2 linked regions of the Neurospora crassa OR74A genome follow. The protein of the gene in region 2 interacts with the protein of the main gene of each other region in a pairwise test. Links are inferred from orthologs where the notes say so. Each region holds a gene or a part of one and is shown on either strand. Other genes may lie near its edges.

Region 1 (5,268 bases), on a different chromosome or scaffold from region 2:
CGTTGTTAGCAAGTCGTCGTGGCTACAACTGACTGATCACCTCAAACCGTCAAATTCTCGACGCGACCGATCATCAGACCTCGACAAAAGTGTCAACCGACCACCTACCGGTGACTAGACCACGCGCACGACAGGAAAGAAGTCGTCAGTAAAGTCAACCATGACTTCTAAGAAACAAAGACAGCATCACTGGTGAGTCCAACCCCGAGTACCCTTGACTTTAGAATTCAGACTGCTAACCAAACGTCGCTGAAAATGCACAGCCCGGTGTGTACGCTCGTGGGCAATGTACGCTGCCTCAAGAAGCAGCACTGGCGCCCATGCGAGATCCACGGCAGAAGCGGCCATCATGGAGATTTCTCGGTCTGCGTGAAGTGTGACGGAAGTGAGAAGCGCGCAGAGAAGGCAGAACGGATTGAACGTCAGAAGGAGAAAGAGGAGCAGGAGAGACTCCGAAAGGAAGAAGCCGAACGGAAGAAACGTGAGGAGGAGGACGCGAAGCGGGCCGAGAAGGAGAAGGCTCGCAAAGAGAAGCATGAAAGTAAAGATGCGAAGAAGAAGAAGGAGAAAAGATGAAGGAATGTTGCGAGCAGGAAGAGGCAAATGGGATGACGCAGAAAGGAGGAGGAGGGGCAGAGAAGGCTTCTGGCAGAGATGGACTCTGAAGCTCAACGAAGCAAGCAAGCAAGCAAGCCAAGACACAGCGTGGAAGGGAGGAAATTGGAAGAGAGGTGGTGATGGTCTGCGATTATCGTTCACGCAACGCTCCGGTACTTTTCTGCAATGAAGTCACCACCACAACGCCCATATGTTAGGATCAATACACGAGATCCGACTAAAAACAAAACGCAAAGTCCCCAAAACTGAACCTATTGTGAAACGTGAATATGACCGTGATCTTTCAAACGAGAATCCACCTCCCTCTCCCCGCTGTGAACATGCATGTACACCTATCCGTCCATCTGGCCCACACCTAGTCGAAGCTCTTCGACGTAGGCTCCAGAATGTTTATTCGAATGGCCCTAAGAGATATCTCATCCGCTGATTGAGGGGGAAAAAAAAATTGGAGAAGAAAAATTGATTTAAATGAGGAATGTGAAAAAAAGAATAGAAGAAGAAGAAGAAAACCTGACGAGAGAAATTGGGATAACACGATGCGGGAGCAACTGACAACCTTGTATTGTATGGTGTGGCGTACCGTTTCTGGTGTTGCGGCTCGTGTTTTGAAGTCATGCTTTAATCGAGAGATCGCTAATCCAAGTACTCCTATATGTCAGATATACTGATCGCCTTCCATTGATCAGGAGGTAAGGGCAAGTGACTCGATTCGTCCTTTCCATCCGCATATCTGGTTGACCATAAAGTCAGGGAGGTTACCTCCAGTGAAGTTAGTTATCGATGATGCCGAGTCGGAAGAGAAGGTAAATAGGTGGTGACGCATAGCCTCTCCCGCGCTGGAACAGTCATGAGTCCATTACCAGGTTCGGACGAGTTGGGGCACTATGCCTTCGGAATATTGATAAGCAAGAGGTTGAAAAACTGAATGTCGCTCGTGGGTTGATGGCGGGCGTAGTGTCTATCGATTCGCTGGCTGACATTTTTCCAAGACCAAGGCCGTTGTTGTTGTTGTTGGAGTTTAACGTGCTGTCATCGCTGGGGGTTGTCGTTCCGTCGAGATAAAAACTAAAAAGTAAGCATGTAGTGCGCTTAAAATCGTGAGACTGGAACTGACATCCTCCATGCAATGCTATGGAGATAATTTCAATAAGAGGGAGACAAGTTAAGGATTACAAAACTCGGGAGGATAAGGTGGGAACATCGGGGGACTGCTAAGAAACACAAGACAAAGAAAAACTGGTATACAGCCGAGGTGCTTTAGTCAAGTCAAGACAAAGCGCTTGCTCTTTCCTGACCTCAGTAACGGTATCGATTGTTGATGATTGATCAGCTCCCCGAAGTGTAGCAAACACCACCACCGTGGCCTTGAAATCCACTTAACACACGAACAGCAAAACAGATCAGAAAGGAAACGGAGCGGAAAACACATAAACCAGGGAGAAAAGATAAACCCTTAACCTGATCATATGTCCACTGTTTAACTCAAAACCATGCTGCTTCTTATGCCCGGCTCCAAAAACGCTTTGTAGGTGGTGGGAAACCCCCTTCCTCCACACATTCGACACTTTTTTCTGTTTTCCTTCGCAAACATCCTCCATGTATTATTTAATCCAGCGCCATCCTCCAGAGACCGTCACCAAGGAAATGCGCCTCCTCGATCACCGGGCCCTTGCCCTTCTCCTTGATCTCCTTGGTCCCCGCAACCAGCACTCCAACGGCGCAAGCCTCCTCCTTGCCCTCAGCCAGGACGACAACAGGTTCGCCCTTCTCCAGCTCACGACTCCAGTGTCCTTCCTCATCAGCGCCCTCATTGGGCACCTCGATCTCGTCGTTCTCGGCCTCGGCAGCGCTCTTCTCCCTCGGCGGCCTCTCATGCGGCTGCGGCAGGCGGCCGCCCTTGCTCGTCAGGCCGGGGGCCATCAGGGTGGCGCCACTCAAAACGAAGCGGATGGCGCCGCGATCTATCCTGATGGTGGGGAAGCATTGCGGGAAGCGGTGGACGAGCTTGAGGTGGGGCACAATGGTGTTTTGTTGCGAGGGCGTGTCGGCCTGGAAGAAGAGCGGGGTGGTTCCATCAATGACGTACAGCGACACGCGGTCGGGAAGCTTGATCTGCTCGAGCGAGGCCTTCTTGGGGATGATGTCGTCGATGTGAGGGGTCAGGAGCGGGTAGGTGGTCAGCAGCGACTGGCGCAAGTTGCGCTGGATCGAGGATTTGAGCTTTTGTTTGGGCGAGGGGGTGATGCTGTTACGAGAGAAGAGTTAGCGGATGTTGGAGAGGTGGTGTAACGGCGGGCGGGCAGTAGAGTGACGTTGGTAAGGGAATATGGCAAAGGAGGGCAGGTGAAGGTATGTTCAGAGTGGTGGATGGCATACTCCTTCTTGAACATTGTGGCGGTATTTGCGACTTTGCGACCTTGGAAAATTATATGTGGTTGTATAGTATATCAGATATGTATATGTGGAGTTCGTGCTCGTCGTTTTGGCGAGTCTTGATGTAGGGACCGTCAAGCTGGGATGTGTGTGTTGCTAAGTGAGGTGAACAATGAAAACAAAGTGCTCCTCGCTGGAATCAATGAAGCTGGCGATACATAGGCGACGCTCGCGACGGCCAAGGCGATTCATGGCGGGGGAGGGGAAGAAGTCGAAGGTGGGGACCCGACCTCGATCTGCCAAGACCGTCCTGCTGCGATCTGTGCAGCAGTCAACAGCCGCGCCAAAGCAGCCGGCGACCAGGGGGTGTCGTCATAGCGCAGCCGATAGAGGGGACGGTCGACGACGATAAGGACATGGATACAAAGGGTCTCCGGGGCAACGGCCTCTATCGTCAGCCGTCAAGGTACTCACAATGAGTTATGGCAGGATGGTACTATAGATGAATTCATCGCATTCGTTAAACACAGCGTCATGCTGGTATCTCCATAACTCATTAACTCGCTCGCTTCGCAACTCCACGTCATGCCATGATATCCTCAAGCCTGGTATAGCCATTCCATCACCGCTCTTTGTTCCCCCTTAACCGTGGACAACGTGGCTGACCTTCCCATCATCGCCGACATGTACGTTGAGACGGTCAGGGTTAAAGTCTTTCGTGACCATCGAACCCGGCTCGATGATGCGGGTTTGCTTTGGGAGATCGGACTTGCAGAAGGTCTGTAGGCAGAAGGGAAAAGGAAGAGGGTCAGCTTCCATGCTTGGACACCATCTCTGTCTTGCCATTCTCAACAGGGGATGTTCTTACAGTCTCCGAAGTGTGGTCAGCGAGCGTCTTGCCGCACAACTTGTTCATCCACTCCTCCGTCTTCTGGACCGTGGGGTCGTTGGTGGTAACGCCGGGAACAACGAGAGGCATTTTGTCGGATATGCGTAGTGTCAAAGTTGATCAAGTTCTTGTGTTGAAGTAATATTGTCTTGTATTATTTCAAATTTTCTTAGTGTGCAAGTGTCTTGGGCATAACGTGAGATGTTGATGTTAGTTGTTTTTGTTGTGGTTCCTTATATAGAGACCCGACACTTGAACTTCCCCTCAGTGTGCTGGAAGCCAAGGTGATGACGTAGCAACCTGAACTTATCGCTAAGCCACCTTGGTCACGGGGACAAAATGGGCTGTGGTGTGAAGCTGTGAGGCTTACATATAGTTGGTGTGTCTGATCAGAACAAACTGTGAACTCAGCTCCGTCCTGCGCTCACAGACTCTCGTTGAATTTGGTTCCAGCAACACGCGTCAACCCGAAAACCTACACTAGTAGTATCCTTCGACACATTATCGATCGGATTCGTAACTGAATTTGCGTACTGGTAGGTCAAGGTCAGGAGAACAAGCTCGGCGTCTCAGTGGACAAGGGTCTTTTTCTCGAGCCCACTGTCAATAACCCATGCTGTCTCCCCCCCCGGGCGCTTCAAACATATGCCGGTGCACATTGGTGCAAGAAATCAATGTGCTACAGCAGCGAAAGCAAAAAGATATCTACGAGAATGGGAAAAAAGACATACAACACCTGGGATTCGCTGGTCGTCACCGACCCAACTACTAGTCAGGCGATTGGTAGCTTATCTATGGGAGAGCGGACGGGATCCCGAGTTTTCTACCATCTATGGTCGTATGTGATAGTTATGGTCAGAAGAAGTACTTATAAACGAGGGCCGATTGTACTGGGTAAACCATCTGGCAAAAGTGCCGCCGAGGGGTGCGAGGTACACAACATCAGTTCACATGACAGCGCATGATCTTCAACACTTGATGGCTTGTCCAAGACAGCCGGCTTAAAGTGAAGACCTAGATGGTTCCTCTTTATTTTCTCCCAAAGTTATTCGTGAGAGAAGAGGTCGATTATCTCGAGTCATTCAAGGGTAAATGTTGTCGAGTTCTTCTCTTTTGTTCCGTCTGATGGCCGGATGTTTCAACATGCAGTCAGGGTTAGGGCCTAGCATGCCATGTCGATCGAATATGGGGGAGCTGAAGCTTCACAATGACGCAACACGATGGGGAACTGCTGCTTCGTTGTGGTCCATGCTGCTTTTCGGCTTCTGCCACCTTAACGGCCGGAAGTTTCCAAACAGTCAAGTTGAAAGGACTCGAGTGTCAAGCCACACGGGAAAAGAGTTCCGAAGGTGAACAAAGATGTGGTAAACTGAACAGCATTGATCTTG
Region 2 (5,651 bases):
TCGAAGCGTTGCTTGTGGTTGGTATAGGAAAGGTTGGATTAGTGGGAAAGATGGTTGGTGTTCTGATGGAAAGATGATGTTCAGTGACAGCGGTTGGGGAGCTCCTGCGTAAGGCGGTTCAGCCTAGCTGCCCGCGTAGCTGCCGTTACGCTATCAGGTGGAGTTGTACGTACCGCTGAGTTCGTTATGTCAGTGACCTGGAGCTGCTGCAGTACGACGCCCCCCGTGTGTCTAGCGAGTCTTGAGTGGTCAGTGCTTTGGTTTGTTTACTCCAGGAATTGTCAACCACTCACAGCACAGCGTACCATTCAATTCAACCTGCAACACACTTCGACTCGCTCATCCATCAAGAATACGCCGATTGAAACATACAGACACTTTCTTCCGCTAACGATTTCTCGCCAATCTCCTCGAAAGCCCAAAGTCATAGCTGACAGAGTTACAATCATTCGATCTACGGCGACCATGTCTCCAACCACCGGCGCGAAACGCAGGTCGGACGAGGCCGATGTTCCTGACGACAAGAACAACACTGGCCTCGCGGTGCCGTCGCTTGACAAAAGTACAATGGAAAACGGACGACCACATGGCAGCGAAAGTCCCGCAAAGAAGAAGAGGCGAACAGGAATTACGGCGGCGCAAAAACAAGCGCTGATTGACAACTTGCAACTCGAGCGTGAGTTTATACCCCTAACAAGCCAGTGACGATGCGCGTGGCCGACTAACATATGTGTAGTCACCGAACGCGCTCGCAAGCTGCGGGCCAACTACGACATCCATGCGCAAAGTCTTCGAACCCGCATCGAAATTCGCGTCAACCGCATTCCCATGTCCCTTCGCAAAGTGAAGATGGGCGATCTCATACAAAAATACTCTACCGAACAGCAACAAAAGACCACGACTACATCTAACGGCCCCCCGGTACCACCGAAAGATGCGACATCATCACGCCCCATCTTCCAGCGACCAGCGATTGCTTCTAGACTTACCTCTCCGATACGGCCCAGCCCGATCAAGACGACAAGGTTAGTCCCCTTTTCTTCTTCCCAGGGGAAATGGACGCCGTCAGTATCAACATCATCCAACCCTAGCCATGAAGTTTCCGGTCGCGACAAAGAAAATTACGAAATCGAACCCATGAACACGGAGAAACGACAACGTCTCGGCCCAGCAGCCGACATCTTGCGCAACCACTCCAACCAAGTCCTCTCGCCCACATCCTCCAACTCGCGCCTAGCACCACGAGGGGAGCGCACCCCATCACCTACGAAACAACACTATCCGACCGGTATCGGCGCACGCCCAATTTCCCCAACCAAACCCACAGCCGGCACGAGTGCATCTACTCTCATCAGCAACATGGTCGAAAAGGCGCGATCGCGAGCGAACAGCCCCCAGAAGCACTCAACAACAACGGAAGCAACGCAAGCGAGCGCAGCAAAATCCAGAGCTAGAGCGGCAACCACATCTGCGGCTTCTGCTACCACACGGACATCGCGGAGAATTAGTGGCGCCAGCGTGTCTAGTGAGGCTAGCAGTACGTCATCGGCGGCGGCGCGGAGACAGCGACCGGCGACGGCGACGGGCATGGCATCTGGAACGGCGGCTAGTGCGAAGAGAGGTGTCATCAGCACGATCAAAAAGGGTATGGCCGCGACGAAGAAGGCGGCGGGTGGTGGGACGAAGGAAGCGGCAGAGAAGGTGGTCGCTAATACGGCGGCGCCGGCTGTGTCGGGGAGGGTGTTGCGAAAGAGGGGATGAGCGGGTTTGAACTTTTGTTTGAATTATCGAGTGTCATCAGTTTTTTCATTGCTGGGGTATGGACTTGGAGGATGTCCATCCAGGTTGTGCACTGTGGGATTGGCATTGTTATTGTTAGGCGTTGGATTGTATAGATGTTACGACCGCCGCCAGGTGTCGGCTTCACAGAGTTCGGCGTTATTAGGTCTGGCAGGTTTCAGGGAACAGTTGGGACATGGCGACTCCAAGTAATGTTATCATTTATCGCTTTTGTCTTTCGCTACTTACAGCGTCAAAAGCCTTTTCCCCCTCGATCTCAAGCGGAATAGCCAATACCATCCGAATAGCCTTGTGATATCAACCAAACTTAATCATTAACTCCCACCTGCTTTAGGCGCGCCTCCGCAGTCTTTTAGAATTCAAAGTCAAGTCGGAACAACTAGTTTCCTTCGCCCTTCTTCTTCTTCTTGTCTTCCACGAGTTCTATGTTGTCTTCGGGAACCTCCTTGTACTTTTCGAGGATGAACTCCTCAATCTCGCCGCTGACATCGCCCTGGACGACAATCTCCTCGCCGCCGCTGGGTACCTTGGTTACCGAAGAGCCGGTAGCGAACTTCTTGCCAAAGTCCTTGGCAACCTATTGCAGGTTAAACAGGATTAAGTTAGCGATCGCTCTTCCAGCATCACCACCATGATACATGTATAGCTAGCAGCCCGTAGGTAGGCGAGCTAGCTAGCTAGCCAGCATGTAAGCTTGGCTTGCGGGCAAAAGTATAACCGTACCTTCTTTAACTCCAACCCAAACGCCTCCAAGCCCGACACCGAAGTGACGTATTTCCTCTTGTTGCGCTCAATGCGCTTGATGGTCACTACGCTGTTGGCGCGCTTGTCGGCCTGCTTCTGCTCCGCCGCCTCGGCCTTGGCTGCCTTCTTCTTCGCGTCCTTCATGGCGCGCTCCTGCGCCTCGACTGACAGCGATGCCATCTCCGCCTCGAGCACCTCAGGCGACCATATCCTTGAGTACATGGTTGGTTGGTTCTTCTCAAGCCATTGCTGGCACTTTTTGACGGTTCCACCGTATTCGCAGTACTAAAATTCGGGGACGGTGATGGGTTGGTGAGTATGTAGTTGTCGGTCTTTGCTACGGGTCGGGGGGTTCGAGGGACGGATGGACGGTAAAGGGGAATAGTATCATACCTCGGGCGGCAGGGAGCATACTGGAATTCAAAGAGGGAATGGTCAGCGCAGGGTTCGATAATAGGGCAGCGGTTCGATTTGGAAGAGAGCGCAAGCATTGCATGTGACTACTTACCACCGCAATAGACAACAGGACGTCCTGTGAGTGCGGTCATGGCTGGATCTGTGGAGGAAATAGGCGCTATAGGTGAGGTACGAGTCGAAAGTATAGAATCTACAACTCTGTCGTTGTTCTCTGATATCTGGTAATGGATGTTTGTAGATCTAGTTGCGCCGCAAAAAAGTGATGTTTCGTTCCAGGAAGCGGATAGGCATGCGACGAAAGCGGATCATGGACGGGATAGCTTCTGTTGTTGTTGCACTTGCCCCTCCTTATCGCTGCTGGGGGCGTTCGCGATTGATAGTTGCGGGGCTTAGTTCTCTTTCGTCTCGGGCATGGCGGGGCACATTCGAAAGGCACTGAGGTGCCTGGGCCCTTGCCGTGACGACAACGTGGGCCAGTTGGAGAACAGGCACAGACCACTTGCGGGTTTGATATTGTGCTCCATACCTGACAGCGCCAAGCTCTTCAAAGTCCGGGGAAGGTCTGTGCGTCTTTGAAATAGCCGCCGAGCCCGACTGCAGCCGCAATCTTTCCTATTACCGCCGCTGCCACTGCCACAGACGGGTGCGCATCACTTCCACTTTCCCATGAACTGACATTTCCTTCGCCGGCTTCCAGCCTCCTACACCGCACCGCATCGGACACGGAGTTGGCTGCCGATACGGATGCCACCTAGCATATGGTCGGATGCGCGGTCCGGACACGTCGAAAGTGAACGATTTGTCAAATCACAGGTGAAGAGACTATGAACCCCAAGTGTGGAGTTTCTTGGGGCGCCAGCGTTCTCATCACCAAGTCATCACCTACACTACTCGACCAGCAGATCAAACTAGGTAAATATCAAAGTATGACCTCTCTACTGTATCCCGAATGCGCCGATTCAACATCATGGTGGAGTGATCTCCCGAAGCTCCCATTCGATTGATGGGAAGGGGTAATATCTGTCGATCGAGATTTACTTTTTTTTCTTTTTTTTTTTCCTCCCAGGCCAACAATTCGAGCTTTTCACGACACCGCCTCAGTTCCTCTCAGTGATCCTCGGCTGCACCATCAACGGGATCCAGGGTTACGTCGATCTCTAGGTTTGTAGATCACGAATGCAAGGGGCCGTGTTACCTAGCGTGGCTTTCGTTGCTTTACGATTTTGCGGTGTCTGCAACCCTTCACCGTCTGCGGTTCCCCATCTTCAATGCAATCATTCATGCTGACCTGTTTGGGAATCCTAGAGGTTGGAGAGTGTACCCGTTTGGAGTCTGCACTAGCAGAATCTGGTGGAGGATAGGAGAGAAACCCAATCATGGAGGATGGCTCGATATTTTAAGCGCCCAGCTGGGTGCCGGCGTCGCTCCCTACCATGTCATTGGTCGTATTCTCTGCAACGCTGTCGATGAACAGGCCCCATTGGCGCGCGCCTTGTCTTGTCATGGCACGCTTGGTTCGCCGGATTCTTCTTGGTCGACCTTCTGCGCAACCTGATTCGGTCGCACAGTTTTCTCCCACCCTCGTCAACCGGCTATCTCGAATTCTTGGTGCTGCCCAACCCCAAGCTCGTCCTGTGAGACACTGGGAAGAGCGAAGCCAAGTCTCGCCGACTGCCAGGGCCCGGCCGCCAGAGTCACGTCAACAGGCGACAACGGCGGCGCAATATGGGAGGACATGGGGCAATATCAGCGGGAATCCGGCTTTCATATGGTGCTAGAGAGCGTGCTAGCCGCTGTGGTGGGAATCAGCGGACAGACAGTCCAAGTGGACCCTGCCGTCGCCATCACGCACCTGACCATCCATCCATCTTTTTGTCTTTTATAATATCGCGTGGCCCAGACCGGCTGCGTTGAGCAGTCCTGTTTAGATCTCCATTCTCTTCTTATACCTTTCTGCGCCAATACAGGAATAGAGCTTCGTTGACCGAAGCCGGTCCATCGTTTAACCCCCCATTTCCATACTCTTCGTCTTACTGTTGCATTCGCATCGACGCCGGCGTCATTCCATTTTCCCGGTCAGCTCTATTTCCAGACTTTTTAATCAATATCAGAGCGACCCCATATTACCACGACACCAACATCATGTCGGACCTTCTGATTTTGCCCAGCACTACATACCGGCCACCCTCCCCGCAGGGCAGGCGGAGGATGGCCCGGACTCTTAATCCTATAATGGAGGAACCTGAACAGACCGATACCGAGACACCGCAGCAGGAGCAAAGGAGACACTTCAACATCCAGAACAACAACAGCAGCAGCAGCAACTGGCCAGTCAACCAAAAGATCGAGCAGTGGCTTGCCCCTTTTTCTCCCTTGAGTGACCATTTCCCTACGCCACGGGGCCTCCATTTCCTTGCCGCCCCGATCCTGCCGGCAACACCGTCGTGCATTTCGAGCTACCGCGGGCCGGACACGGATGCCGACGACACAAGTTCAGAGACTTCATCTTCCAACCCTTCTTCGGGAGCATGGAATAATAAACGATCAAGCGCCATGACTGATGTGACGGAATTTGACGACCTTTATGACATTTCGGATGAGGAACCGCAGCGCAAGGAGATGCTGCAAGCAAATGGTATTGGCCGCCACATGAGTTCGAGGAGGAGTCTACGGAGGTCATCGAGAGCTTC

Evidence for each region. The genes of interacting proteins can lie anywhere in the genome.
Region 1: the proteins of NCU02984 (region 2) and NCU08678 interact in binary tests that used the Saccharomyces cerevisiae proteins (3 or more experiments, as listed by UniProt). The link is inferred for Neurospora crassa OR74A from reciprocal best matches to the Saccharomyces cerevisiae genes TMA22 and TMA20.

What each region holds. Positions count from the first base shown.
Region 1 is NC_026504.1:4,135,240-4,140,507, forward strand, and holds NCU08678 (translation machinery-associated protein 20), read right to left. Parts: upstream 3,277-5,268; 5' UTR 3,009-3,276; coding exon 2,995-3,008; intron 2,864-2,994; coding exon 2,224-2,863; 3' UTR 1,629-2,223; downstream 1-1,628. Other genes in the region: NCU08679 (hypothetical protein), read left to right, coding at 161-192, 264-576; NCU08677 (hypothetical protein), read right to left, coding at 3,634-3,771, 3,860-3,970. UniProt on the Saccharomyces cerevisiae protein: Involved in translation.
Region 2 is NC_026501.1:8,504,575-8,510,225, reverse strand, and holds NCU02984 (translation machinery-associated protein 22), read right to left. Parts: upstream 3,427-5,651; 5' UTR 3,093-3,426; coding exon 3,053-3,092; intron 2,958-3,052; coding exon 2,938-2,957; intron 2,830-2,937; coding exon 2,524-2,829; intron 2,378-2,523; coding exon 2,180-2,377; 3' UTR 1,762-2,179; downstream 1-1,761. Other genes in the region: NCU02983 (hypothetical protein), read left to right, coding at 466-676, 737-1,761; NCU02988 (hypothetical protein), read left to right, coding at 5,104-5,651.